2 linked regions of the Stegostoma tigrinum genome follow. The protein of the gene in region 2 interacts with the protein of the main gene of each other region in a pairwise test. Links are inferred from orthologs where the notes say so. Each region holds a gene or a part of one and is shown on either strand. Other genes may lie near its edges. The genes, in order: mcmbp and asl.

Evidence for each region.
Region 1: the proteins of asl (region 2) and mcmbp interact in binary tests that used the Homo sapiens proteins (3 or more experiments, as listed by UniProt). The two-hybrid records come from large-scale screens. The link is inferred for Stegostoma tigrinum from reciprocal best matches to the Homo sapiens genes ASL and MCMBP.

The regions. Positions count from the first base shown.
Region 1 is NC_081373.1:26,239,764-26,247,061, forward strand, and holds the start of mcmbp (mini-chromosome maintenance complex-binding protein), read right to left. Parts: upstream 3,199-7,298; 5' UTR 3,157-3,198; coding exon 3,099-3,156; intron 1-3,098. Other genes in the region: sec23ip (SEC23-interacting protein), read left to right, coding at 3,386-3,506. UniProt on the Homo sapiens protein: Associated component of the MCM complex that acts as a regulator of DNA replication.
Region 2 is NC_081380.1:21,804,068-21,811,232, forward strand, and holds the start of asl (argininosuccinate lyase), read right to left. Parts: upstream 3,059-7,165; 5' UTR 2,818-3,058; coding exon 2,803-2,817; intron 383-2,802; coding exon 188-382; intron 1-187.

The sequences.
Region 1 (7,298 bases), on a different chromosome or scaffold from region 2:
ACGAAATGTCTGAAAACTAACCTTCCAGCTCAGCGAGCAAACTCACATCCAGAACCTCAATCTGAGCTACAAATCTTCTCAAAACTCGCTAAACCACAAAGATATTAAAACAAAAAGATGAAAATGTTGAATGGAAAATAATATAGGACTGAACAGCAAAACAGGAACACTGACCAACTGTGGAATAGTTGCACAGCAAAGATTTTGGTGATCTTATACCAGGGAGGGACGACCATGAATGATGTCAAGACATGGCTGACAGAGTTTCAACAGCATATAAATTGAAGGAGAGGTGGAGACAGGTGATGGTAAAGAATGTGGGATCTTTTCGATGGAACAATTGTAGTGATTTGAAACTCATCTAAGGTTCACAGAAGACTAGAATGTTGCAAACAGCACAATTCAAACCGTCAATGCTCAAATGCCTTATCAATCCCCAAGACCTTTGAAACAATTACACTGTAGTGTAAGTAGTCACCACGGACTGGCTCCCATGCTGATGTTCAAAAGCTCTTAATATATATTAGCTAAATTTCCACAACTCAAAGTTTCAGGAAGGCAGGATTCTCATTCCCCAATACACCCTTGAATATAGCTCCTCATAACTACTCTCCAGACTCTGCAAGGGTGCACTGGACCAAACAATTGTATTGATGGAGATAACATTGTCACTTCTATTGAATGATCTGTCCCACATACACAGCTGTTTCCCAATCACTTGGTCCTGACAGTCCAGGTGAGATGCAACAAAAGCAGCAGAGAACCTTGAACACACTGAAGCATTCAGATATTTTCCAGAACAGTGTGACCAAGAACGTGACACTAAGCTACACAAGCCAATATTAAAGCAGGTGACCAAAAACTTGGGCAGGCAGGTTTTTGTACAGATGCCTAAAGCACAGCAACTAATAATCATAAATAAGAAAGAGACTGGAATTCAACTAGCATGGATATCTGTTGAATAAACAGGATCTGGTGCAAGAAATGGAATGGATAAAGGTATTTGAATGGCCTCAACTTTGTGGAAACTAAAACGTATAGGACTGACCAGAATTAGGTTGGAATTGTCAAGGCTGGACATACTAAAGGCATGGATGAGGGTTTCAGCAACAATGCTCTGAGACAGATCAATCAGACAATGTCACAGAGGCAAAAATAAAACTATTACAATACAAATACATACAAAGTACATACTGGGTAATCCTCAGATGATAAATAAAAACCGAAAAAAAAAAAAATTACAGATGCTGTAAATCAGGAAAAACAAAGTTGCTGGAAAAGCTCAGCAGATCAAACAGCATCTGTGAAGGAAAAACAGAGTTAATGTTTCGGGTCCAGTAAGGAACGGTCACCAGACCCGAAACTTTAACTGTTTTTTATCTTCACAGATCCTGCCAGACCCGCTGAGCTTTTCTAGCAACTTTGTTTTTAATCCTCAGATGGTTATCAGGTGAGGAACAGAGTGGGTGAAAACCAAAGATCATAGTTTGGTGTCCCTAACATCTATTCATTCAGTACTGAATATCAAACAAGGTACTTTATACATAAGAAAGTTACAGACCTCAGGACAAACTGGTCCTCTTACAACTTCTTTAGTATTATCACTTGTATCAGCTCTGATCACTGATTCACAATGGCTTTCTGTTAAACAACAAACATCCTCATTTTCAAATCTCTCTGTGACCTTTCCTATTCCTATCAGTTTAATGTCCAGCCCCACAACTGTCAAATAGCCATGGTAATCAAATTCTAGCCTCTGGCATTGACTGCTGGCATCTGTGGAAAAGCCTGCCTCCTTAAGCTGACCAGTTAGAACATAGAACAATACAGCGCAAACAGGCCCTTTGGCCCTCGATGTTGCACTGAGCTGTGAACTAATCTAAGCCCATCCCCCTACACTATCCCGTCATCATCCATCTGCTTATCCAAGGACTGTTTAAATGCCCCTAATGTGGCTGAATTAACTACATTGGCAGGCAGGGCATTCCACGCCCTTACCACTCTCTGAGTAAAGAACCTGCCTCTGACATCTGTCTTAAATCTATCACCCCTCAATTTTTAGCTATGCCCCCTTGTACAAGCTGACGTCATCATCCTCGGAAAAAAACTCTCACTGTCCACTCTATCTGTTCTGCAAATAATATATGCACAATTTGTGGATCATTACACATAACATTGCTGATACTCCCATGATTAAATATTTCTTCAATGTTCCAAAATAATCATTTAACTATTCAAACAATTAAAAGTTCAGAAATATATTCAACATAGATTTATTTTATTAAGGCCACTCAACAGACTCACTTTAGTACAAACTACAATGTGAGATCTAACAGTCACAAAAACAGATGTATATCAGTCAGGAAGCACTGGACTTGCCAAAAGTCAAATATGCCAGACTATATTCATGATAACGATCTTTCCAGGAGTTTGGAAATTGGTTGATTATGTTATTGACAAGCATCAAATTAGTTGTTTGGAATATATTCTATCATTTGCGTAAATCAACATGAATCCACCTACTGAAGGAAGTCCCCTAAACGTGCACAAAAGAAATGAGCTACAGCATGAAACAAGGCTAAGTCTTCTGATAGTTCGATAACTTGCAATTTAAAGAAAATACACCGAACTACTTTGGAATACTGCCAGATTTCCATAACTGTCTCCACCCACATGGAAATCAGCTTGGTCTTGGATCTTAAAGGCTTGTTCTCTAACAGTACAAAGCATATTATAAAGCCAATGGTTTTAAAAGTAGCTCACAGTTTAAATGGTCTCACAAGCAATCAGCTTACAGAAAAGAACTATTTGCCGAAGCCTTGCCTTTTGATCTGGGATTGATATAAATACTTAAGCTGTAAAGTTCAATTTTGTCTCCGAATTGAAGTTTAAAGCTCCGTGTAAGAAAAAGAGGGTTGTGTGTGATGTGGTGGGGGGGGGGGGGGGTGTTGGTGGAAGGTTAAGGAGCTGCTGAGAAGGAGCTGGGATGGGAGGCCTGCACAAGCACAGAAATCGCGGACCAGGAATGGAAGAACTTGCAAATACAAAAACAAAAATAAAAGCGATTAGGCAACAAAGGAGAAAGAAAGCAAACTCACCAAAAATACTTTGCACGGCGCCTAGAGGGTCGTTGACCCAGTCGTCAACACACGGCATGTTGAGAAGTTGCTGCGGGACAGGGGGAAAGGGGGGGGCAGGGCGGGGGTTGGGGGGGGAGGGAAGTGACCAACGGCGATGGCGGGAAAATCGCGTCATTGACGCAGCCGCTGACCCCTGACCCGCTGCGCCATGACGTACCGGGCCGGTTTCACCTCTGACCCCCACCCGCCCCGCCCCTCATCCCGCTCCGCGGAGCAGCTGGTTACGTGTCGGTGCCGGAGTAAAGATGGCCGACAGGAAAAGCGGCACTAACTTGCTTTTCTCCTCCGACACCGAGTTCAGTTTCCCGGTGCCTTTCATCCCTGTCAGTCAGGCGCAGGCGGCGGACAGCAGCCTTCTCTCAGCGGGTGGGTGAATGAATGAGGCCCGCGGTTGTGTTGAGAGGATGGCAGACAGACTCCCCGGCTCGGGATGGGGGAGGAGGAGGAGGAGTCACTCCAGGGTCGACATCTGGATCCTTGAATTTCATGTTGCTTGGTTGCGAGGGTGTTGGTGTCTGTGATTTGAAGTCTCATCGAGAAGTATTCAGTTCAGCCGTCCACAGGGTTTGGATCCCTTTATCACCTTACACGGGGCGCGGAAGGAGGTTGTGTCACTGAGCAGTCTTTGATTTGAGCCTGACGTGTACTGAAAGAAAATTGAGTGGTCCGATCCTAATAGCAGGTCTATCAAAAAGTCAGCAATTAAAAATACGATGTATGTAATCGGGCTTAGACTCACTTGTGGTTTGTTTAGCCTGCTTGTAGCCCAAGCTACTTTGTGGCGACCTGTACAATATGTATGGCATGATTTTATTTTGTTGGGCATTAACATTCTGCAGCTGTTTTTGTATGATGCCAGATGTCAGAGTTGCTGTACTGGCAATTGTAGCTTAGTAGTAGAAGATTCACCTCCTGAATCTTAGATTGAACATCTAAGTTCTTCTCCGGGGACTTGAGCACAAAATGCAGTTTGGTGTTTCAGTACAGTACTGATTGCATCCTACACCAACAGTAGGTGCTATCTGTTCCGTGGAAAGATAAGCAGAGACTCCACCTACTCTCTTAGATGCATGTAGAAAATCAAATAAGTTTTCACTGCCAATATTTATACTTCATCTAATACCAAGAATGAAACAGTTTTATTGTTATCAAATAGCTGCTTGTAGATCCTTCCATTCTCTACATTTACTCTCTTATTTCCTACATTACAACAACAATCCCAATTTGAATGAGTTTAATTGACTATGAAGTATTTTTAAATCTCCTGAGGTTGTGAGAAGTGCCACATGAATGCAAGACTTTCTATTAACGTGTTTTATTTTGTGAGTGCACAGTGCAGATGAGCTGGATGTACACACATTAGAACAATTGAAATTTGAGGCCAAGTTTTTATATTAAGGCTATCCTCAAACAGATGCACAAACAATAAAATTGACTCCTAGAACTTTAGAATTTTACAGAAATGCCAAAATTGCTCAAATTGTGGAAAGGTGTTTAGGAAAGTTATTGATTTAACTGTAGATGATCACCTTTTTGGTAAATTTAGAAGCCTTGCTCTTGCATGAAGTCATAGCATTAACATTTTCTCCTCGGTTAGGAATTGAAGTTTACAAGTAAAGGTACATTTTCGATGTATGTGTTTTGAATAGGTATTTTGTGATCCAGTTATCATAGTATTTTGGTGTTTTTGAGCAGTAGAAGGCTTCATATTAATTTTCAGTGAATTTTGCTTCTGGTAAAACATTACAGCATTGAACTTAGAATTAAGTTTTAAATTTAAAACTTAATGTTTCCTTTTGCTATTTGTCTTTTTTTCTGTTGTGCATTTATTTGAATATTTAAATTAGAAAAGATCTGAAATATCTGAGAATGTGGCATTATATATATCTTCTAAAACATAGTAATTGTTCCTATTGGAAGCAAGCACGGCAGCCATTGTTTGCCAGTACAGTTCCTTGAATGTTAAGGTGACGAAGTGTAGTTAATCTGGGCTTTGGCTGTACTTGACTTATGCATATGGGCCACAACATCAAGATAACTTTGGTCATCCTTGACTATCATTATATATCTTTAATCTGAGCAGTCAGCCAGTATCTTGATTTTTTAATCCTTCATTGAATTGACTAATATTTCATATGTTATTCATGTGTATTCATGAGCCATGTCTTATTGTTATTTTGGACCTGTGCAATGCCAATGGTGGTAATGATGGAAGTATAGGGAGCAGTTAGTTTGAATCTAAAGACAAGACACTTATTACATAACACATTTTGCTCTTGGCATAGTAATGAGCTTAGTGATCCAATTCCCCAGATATGGACCCATTTTAAACTTCAGTCTGTGCTTGAACCAGATTCCTTATACCCTGAATAAGTAATGATGGGCGAGTGGTGGTGGGCAAATTTGACTCTATACTTGGAGGAAGAAAATTAAGGCCAATGAGTTAGTTCAGAAATAGTTATGACTCTTTCTGACATTAATTTGCCTGTGAATGGATAAGCACAATCTTGCATGTGTTTTTAGTGGGTATCTACCTGTGTTGACCTCATAATATTCCAGATCTTTCACCATCAAGTCTCCAACTAAGATATTGTTGAATTGAAGCTTGAGAAAGAGCAGGGCAGCTAAATGGCATCCTCTGGTTTTTATTTTTGACTGCATGTCCGGTCACTGGAAGCTGCTGATGGATTTGCTTTTTATAAAGTTAAGCACTTGATCATCTGGAATTTGCAGTACACAAAATTATCATGCTAAGATGTTTGTTATTTCTCAAATTATATTTTGCATTCTCTTGAACTTACGACAATTGTGCTATTGCTGGAATATAGGCATCAATTTCATTTCACTGCGATTCTTTGTGAGCTTGCTTTTAGGTTGGTTGCGCTTGTGTTAATTTTGTTGAATTTATCATCAATTGTTGCAGGGATCAACATCTTTGTTACGTAAACAACTTCTGACCTCAACACTATAAATAAATGTTATTGTTTTTTGATTTGTGTGACAATGATCTGTAGCTGAAATGCAAGAAGAAGCTGAAAGCAAATGTAATCTAAAGAAAATGCTGATGGATGTATAGAGTATGTTTTCATTTGACTGTTATAAACTTATTTATTTTCAGTTGAAAAAATGGCCAGAGACAATTTTGTTTTATGAACTTGCTTAAAAAGCAGAAAGATCTGTTTTGGTATGTGTGTTTTGCTGAAGGGGTGTTTGTAACTAACTTTTTTCAAATCAACTGATTAGCTTTTAGACATACTTATCATAGTGCTGCTTTTTAGGAATGTTAGCAATTTGGTTCTGAACTGTCAATAAAAAGGAATTCACTTTACAGAAGTAGCTTCTTCCCAAGGTTGAGGGATTAAAGCTACGTCTTAACAAAAATGCCTTGAAGCCGTTGAAGTGTTAGAATCAGTCACTTTGGGGAGGAGGGGGAATGCCAACAAAACTTTGTTTAAACTAAAATAAAACTTGTTTCCAATGTAACATCGAATTGCAAGTGCTTTTACTTTGAAAGAGTTTCTTTGTTCGAGTTGTTAAACTCGCAGAATTAATGAGTTGAGTTGTACTGTTCCCATAAGAATTCATACATAATGATCCCATAATTAGGAATTCTGTTTGTAAAGGCATTTCAGAGGTCCTTAAAACTTTGTTCTTACACCCCACGTCCCAAATTTTGCAGCTACTTTTGATTGCAGTTCTCATTATACAGTAGAATTAGACTTAGAGACATGGAAAATGGGGGAGAAGTAAATCTTTTGATCCATCAAGCCCACTTCACCATTCAGCATGATCACGGCAAGTCCACTATTTCAGCATAGTCTCCTTGCTGTCTCTCCATATGCTTAGACACCTTTTAGTCCCTGGAAATCTATCTATCTTACCTAAATAATATTTAGTGACTGCCTTCATAGCCTTCTATGGTGGAGATTTCTACAGGATGACCATGTGTAAAGAAATTTGTCCTCAGTTTGAAATAGTCTACTTCCTGTTGTTTTGGAATCCCCACAGCCATGGAAATATCATTTCTGCACCCAGTATGCCTGCTTTGTCAGAAATAAGTTGCATTGAGATGCCCCCTCATTCTAAACTCCAGAGAATACAGTCCCAATCATTCTATGGTAAATGTATAAAAATGGTGGCCATGATTGTTTTGCTCAA
Region 2 (7,165 bases):
CTATGAACTATCAACCAAAAAATCCCAATGTACAAATTTCACCAGAACACAAAAATCAAATTCTGTTTAACTCAATTTTAAGTGGTTTTACTTTCACGATAACAACTGTGGAGAGATTAAAGTTGTAATAAGGACAGAAGACCTCATTACTTTGATAGTTAGGTCAGCTCATTGCCAAGTTTCTTACCTTGTCCATCCCGTTTAGAATTTGATCCATTTCTGTTTTTGTTACCAGTCCAGCTTTTTCTAAAGCCTTGACATACGCTTTGCTGCCTTTAATATCTTCAGCCCACATTCGCTTATCGTAAGATATGGAGGAATTAAACTTTTCCATAATTGGATCAACGTTTCCAACAAATCTTCCACCCCATAGCTTAGTTTCCTAGTGGACATGAAAATCATTGGCATTGGCTACAAAGTTTGACTTGATTTGCGCACCAAGAAATTCACTCATCATCTGTTATATTGCTGAAACAATAACACATCATTACTTAACATATTAGGAATAGAGTCAGTTGAACTGTCCCAAAATATTAATTCTAGAGATAAACTTCTAAACCTTCTTTGCATTCTGAGTAGCCTTGCTCTACACTTTTATAAAGGCGTGAGATATATTTCTTAGCCCCTGATAAGGGCGTGTTTACATGTTATACCACCAACAGTTAACTGTTTCTCTTGCTTCACCCCAGGCCATTTTACTGGAGATGGGAAGGGGAGGGAGTTCAGGGTTATTGAGAGAGGTCAGCAGGGATTGTGCAGGTTCCCAAAGGCAGTGGGGAACATGGCAGATGGCTGGAATTGGCCTGAGTGTAGCAGGCTGGGTTTCAATTGGAGTCATTGGCCACCCTGTGGAAAAGGTAACCCCAACTCCCCAATAGTGGCTTCTGGGTTTTATTGTAACTTGCAAAAAGTTGGAGAAGGGCAATCTTCAATGGTTTACTGTCATCCTCATTAGGCTTTAAAGGCCCGCTGCTGATGTTTCTGTGCTGAAGAGCCTCCTATTGGCCCTCTGGCTTCGAATTCATGCCCACCATCCCTAACTGGTCAACAAGCTGACCCTCTGGCTCCTAATTAGCCAATACGGGGGTGGGGGAACATTCCCAGTAAGTGACTGTTCCCCACACGGCGCAATTTTTTTAATTCCGACACTGCATTGGGGTTTGAAGCCCATAGGAATGTGCTAAACTGGAGTCAGGCTGGCAGCAAAAAAATGTGTGCAAAGGTTTCATACGTTACTGCATGAACTCAGAATGAACCGGACCGGGAATAGAACTTCAAGGGTACAAAAACAATTTTAAACAAAGGTTGCAGGAACAGCAACTCATATTCCGCCTGGGAACCCTGCAGCCATATGGTATCAATGTGGACTTCACCAGTTTCAAAATCTCCCCTTCCCCTACTGCATCCCTAAACCAGCCCAGTTCATCCCCTCCCCCCACTGCACCACACAACCAGCCCAGCTCTTCCCCCCCACCCACTGCATCCCAAAACCAGTCCAACCTGTCTCTGCCTCCCTAACTGGTTCTTCCTCTCACCCATCCCTTCCTCCCACCCCAAGCCGCACCCCCAGCTACCTACTAACCTCATCCCACCTCCTTGACCTGTCCGTCTTCCCTGGACTGACCTATCCCCTCCCTACCTCCCCACCTACACTCTCTCCACCTATCTTCTTTACTCTCCATCTTCGGTCCGCCTCCCCCTCTCTCCCTATTTATTCCAGTTCCCTCTCCCCATCTCCCTCTCTGATGAAGGGTCTAGGCCCGAAACGTTAGCTTTTGTGCTCCTGAGATGCTGCTTGGCCTGCTGTGTTCATCCAGCCTCACATTTTATTATCTTGGAATCTCCAGCATCTGCAGTTCCCATTATCTCTTAAACAAAGAATAAACTATGTTGCCTCTTCTTCGGCATTCCAATCAAATAAAGGCGACTGAGCTTTACTGTTTAAAAACAATCAATCAATACGTAAACAACAGAAAACATTCCCCTTATCAGTTTGCTTTACACAAGGAGCAACACTGTTGCAATTTAACCAAGTCCAACAGAATTGTAGGGGTAGAAGGTGTTTATGATCAAGAAATCCTACCAGGCTATTTTGTAACAATTTAAACTGATGCAGGAAATGCACCTACCCAATTAAGTATGTTTTAGATGTTGATTTGGTTCAGTTCAGCAACATACGCAACTCCTTGTGGAACTGATGAAAATAACGTTTATTGCAACACACAGGAAAATACTCCATTAGTAAGCAGATAACTACCTCGAATTGTATAACAAATCCATTCAGGGAAGTGAAGAACCTACACACACCCCTGCCACAAACGACAACATAAACCAAATATGCCAACATTGAGAAGATAATGGTAGGGGAAGAAAGAGCATTGATTCCAAAGAGTACAAGTGACTATCTCCTCTTGTGAAAAACAAACTTGTACCCTGTAACCTTTCTGCGCTGTCCCATGTTAATATGGGAAACAGAGTGTCTCAAACCAACTGCTTTCATTACGCTCTGAAAGGAAACAATGATTGCGGCAATCGTGAGTAATATGGCAACACAAGGACAACAAGGAAAATATCGACAGGATTTCGCCCAATTCTGAAAGAGCCCTGCAAATCACTTCAGTCCACACTTGTTTGTGAGAACAGTAGTTAATATTCCCTCCTGCACCTTCCCAAGTCATATATTAAAGGAGGAAGTTAGCTAGACAACAAGAAAAACAAGCAGGAGATACTATGTAACGTCTCCTTGACATATAAAAATGGATCTAGTTCTTGAATTTAAAACAAAATTGAGGGAAACATTACCTTTGAACTGGCCATTTCGAACACAAGGACTCAGCACGGTAGGAACAGCTCAGGTTAAGTCAAAGCTTTTAAAAAGCAACTGGAGGTTATATGTTCGATCCGTCTGTAGGATAAACAAGTGTCAGTGTTTACACAGCCCCCAAAATGCTCAGTTAGCTCTGCACACCGATCTTCAGACGCGCTACAGCGCTCTGTGAAACACCCAATGTGAGACTTCTCATTGCAATTCTGATCGGTTTCAGCCCAGAAACTCCCAGTTCCGGGAAGCGGAATGCAAATCGCTAACTGAAGCTGCTGGGATTCGTAGTCCATGTCGAAACCTGTTAAAATAATTCCCAACTGTATATAGACCGCTCACATTTACCCAGTCCTGAAATAAAATAAACCTCTCTCAGCTGACAGGGTGATAGAGTTCTCCGTGTTGTGAGCTTAGCATTCGAAACTTAATTCAGTTAAATTAATTTTTGATTTATTTATACTGGGAGAGTAGGACGGAGTCTTCGCCGGAAGCAGGGTGTGAGAATGTACAGTGAAAGTAATTGTGGGTTTGTAATAGATATAGGTGGCCAGTCTATCTGCAGAAGTGGAAACAGAGATGTTGAGAAAGGAAGGGGACCAGTCCAAGATGGAACAGGTGGAGGTGAGAGCCAGGTGGAAATTGTGTAGAGTTAGAATTGGGAAGGGCAACTTAAAATACGCAACCCAAGATGTGAGGGAGCTGGATTTGTGGCACAAATTGTTGGAAGTAACTGGGAAAGTGCTTAAAGGCATATGGGATCCTGATCAAAATAGCCAATGCACTAGTAATTATTTCCCAAAATTGACTGGACCCTGGGGTGGTTCCCACAGATTGGAAAACAGCCAATGTGACGCCACTGTTTAAAAGCGGAAGTAGACAAAAAGCAGGTAACTACAGGCCAGTTAGCTTAACTTTGGTAGTAGGGAAAATGCTTGAATTTATCGTTAAGGAAGAAGTAGTAAGACATCTGGATATAAATTGTCCCATTGGGAACACCCAGCATGGATTCATGAAGGGCAGGTCATGTTTAACTAATTTGGTGGAATTCTTTGAGGACATTACTTGCATGGTGGACAGTGGGGAACCTGTGGATGTGGTGTATCTGGACTTCCAGAAGGCATTTGACAAGGTGCCACACCAAAGGCTGCTACATAAGATAAAGTTGCATGGTATTACAAGTAATGTATTGGCAAGGATAGAGGATTGGTTGACCAGTAGAAAGCAAAGAGGTAGGAGTAAATGAGTATTTTTCTGGTTGGCGGTCAGTGTCTAGTGGTGTGCCTTAGGGATCAGTGTTGGGACTGCAATTGTTTACAATTTACGTAGATAATTTGGATTTGGGTACTAAGTGTGGTGTGTCAAAATTTGCAGCTGACACTGAGGTGAGTGGTAGCGCAAAGTGTGCAGAAGTCGCTGAATGTCTGCAGAGGGATATAGATAGTCTAAGTGAGTGGGCAAAGGTCTGGCAGATGGAGTACAATATTGATAAGTGTGAGGTCATCCATTTTGGTAGGAATAGCAGCAAAACGGACTATGTTTTAAATGGTAAAAAATTGCAGCACATTGCTGTGCAGAGGGATTTGGGTGTCCTTGTGCATGAAACACTAAAAGTAGGATTGCAGGTGCAGCAGGTAATTAAAAAGGCAAATGGAATGTTGTCTGCCATTGCTAGAGGGATGGAGTTTAAAAACAGGGAGGCTATGTTCCAGCTGTATAGGGTCCTGGTAAGAGCACATCTGGAGTACTGTGTGCAGTTTTGGTCTCCTTACTTGAGAATATATATACTAGCACTGGAGGGGGTGCAGAGTACAGGTCACTCATGGAAAGCTGCAGTCCTTCCCAAAAACCTTACAGCATCTTGTCACAGCAGACCAGTTGAAAACCATTGTTGTAGGTGACTGCTACGACCACTCTGGCAGCAAGGTTCTGTTACTGGGAGAAGATACTGTAATTGAGCTTTTGGCATGTTCCTCTGCTTGTGCTTTTCTCTCTGCCTCTGCTGTACAAACACTGTCAAAGAGGTTGGCATTTTGTTTGATTTGGTTGCTAATTAAGTGCAGTTATCCTGGGCAAGCTTCTCTGAGGACTTGAAGTCAATAGCGAAACTTTGTAGCTTTCCTTTAACTACACAAACATAGAAACAGAAGTAGGCCAGATTATGGCTTAACAATGGCCTAACTCCATATGTCCGCTTTTGGCCCATATTTCTTAATACCTTTGCTGATCTCAGATTTTAAATTGACATTTGATCTCGCATCACCTTCTAGCTGTGGAAGAGACTTCCAGACATTTACCATGTGTGGAGGCACTTCATAACATATGTCCTGAATGGTCTGGCCCTAATTCTCAGACTATTACCCGTAGTTCTTGAATCCCTAAACATGGAAATAGTTTATCTTTATCTACACTGTCTTTCTTGGTGTGGTTCCAAGTTTTGCAACTGCACTCTGGGTGAGATACTTAAAGAAGGATATGATGCCAGGATACAGACAAAGATCTACACAAACGGCTCCAGAGATGAGGAATTTCAGTGACATGGATAGATCAGAAAAAAATGGAACTGTTTTCCTTTAGAACAGTGCAAGTTGAGAGGAGATTTAAAAGAATTCAAAATCACGAGAGATCTGGGCGAAATGGTTGAGAGAATCTGTTCCCATTGGTAGAAGGACCAGGTAAAGACACCAGTTCCTGATGGATGACAAAAGAAACAAAAGCAATATGAGGAACGCTGTTTTTTGGAGTGAGTGGTTATTCCTGGAATGCATTGTCTCTCAGTGTGGTGAAGGCAAATTCAATCCTAGCTTTCCAAAGCAAATTTAATAACTATGGGAAAAGGGAAAAAAAATGCAGGGCTGTAGAGAAAAACATGTGGCATTGGGTCTAGCTGAGTGGCTGACAGGGATGCAAGACAGACCAAAAGTCTCCTCCTGACCTGTAACCATTATGTGTTTCAGTGATAGTGTTGAAAGTTTTCCTTTGCATCATTTGGGTCGAGCTGCCAACCCTCCTGGATTTAAAGATTAAATTCCAAGACTCATAGAATCATAGCTCATACAGGACAGAAACAGACCCTTCGGTCTAACACATCCACGCCAACCAGAAATCCTAAACTGATCTGGTCCCATTTGCCTACATTTGGCCCATATTTCTCTAAACCCTCCTTATTCATGTACCCATCCAGACGCCTTTTAAATGTTGTAATTGTGCCCACCCTACCTCTTTCTTTGGCAGCCAGTTTCATACAACCCTACCCTTTGCATGAAAAAGTTGCCCTGAGGCCCTTTTCAAATCTTACCCCTGTCATTTTAAACCTATGGCTTCTAGTTTTGAACTCCCCCATCCTAGAAAAATGACCTTGACTATTCACCCTATTCATGCCCCTCATGATTTTATACAGCTCTATGAGGCCACCCCTGAGCCTCTGCCAGTCCAGGGAAAGTAGCTCCCGCCTATTTAATTTCTCCGTACAACTCAAACCCTCCAGTCCCAACAATATCCTTGTAAATCTTTTCTGCATCCTCCCAAATTTAACAACATCCTTCCTCTAGAAGGTTGACCAGAATTATATGCAGCATTATAGAAGTGGCCTCACCAATGTACTGTACAGTCACACCATGACGTCCCAACTCCAATACTCAATATTCTGACCAATGAAGGCCACCATGCCAAATGCCTTCTTCACTATCCTGTCCATCTGTGACTCCGCTTTCAAGGAACTTTGAGCCTGCACCCCAAGGTCTCTTTGTTCAGCTCCACGCCCCAGACCCCTTGTATTAACTATATAAGTCTTGCCATGATTTGTCTTACCAAAATGTATTATTTCACTTTCATCTTGATTCAAATCCATCTGCCACTCCTCTGCCTATTAGCCCACCTGATCAACGTCATGTTGTACTCTGAGATAATCTGCTTCACAGTCCACTACACCACCTGTTCTGGTGTCTTCTGCAAACTTACAATCCATTTCTCCTATATTCACATCCAAATCATTTATATAAATGACAAAAAGCAGTGGATCCAGCGCCGGTCCTTGTGACACACTGCCGGTCACAGGCCTCCAGTTTGAAAAGCAACCCTCTACCACCACCCTCTGTCTCCTACCTTCAAGCCAATTTTGTATCCAGTTGGCCAACTCCCTCTGGACCCCATGTGATCTAATGTTACTAACCAATCTACCATACATAACCTTGTCAAATGCCTTGCTGAAGTCTATATAAACAATATCAATCCACTTCTTCAGGAAACTCAATCAAGTTAGTGAGACATGATTTCCCATGCACAAACTCATGTGAACTGCCCCTAATCAGTCCAAAAATATGCAAATCCTATCCCTCAGAATCCCCT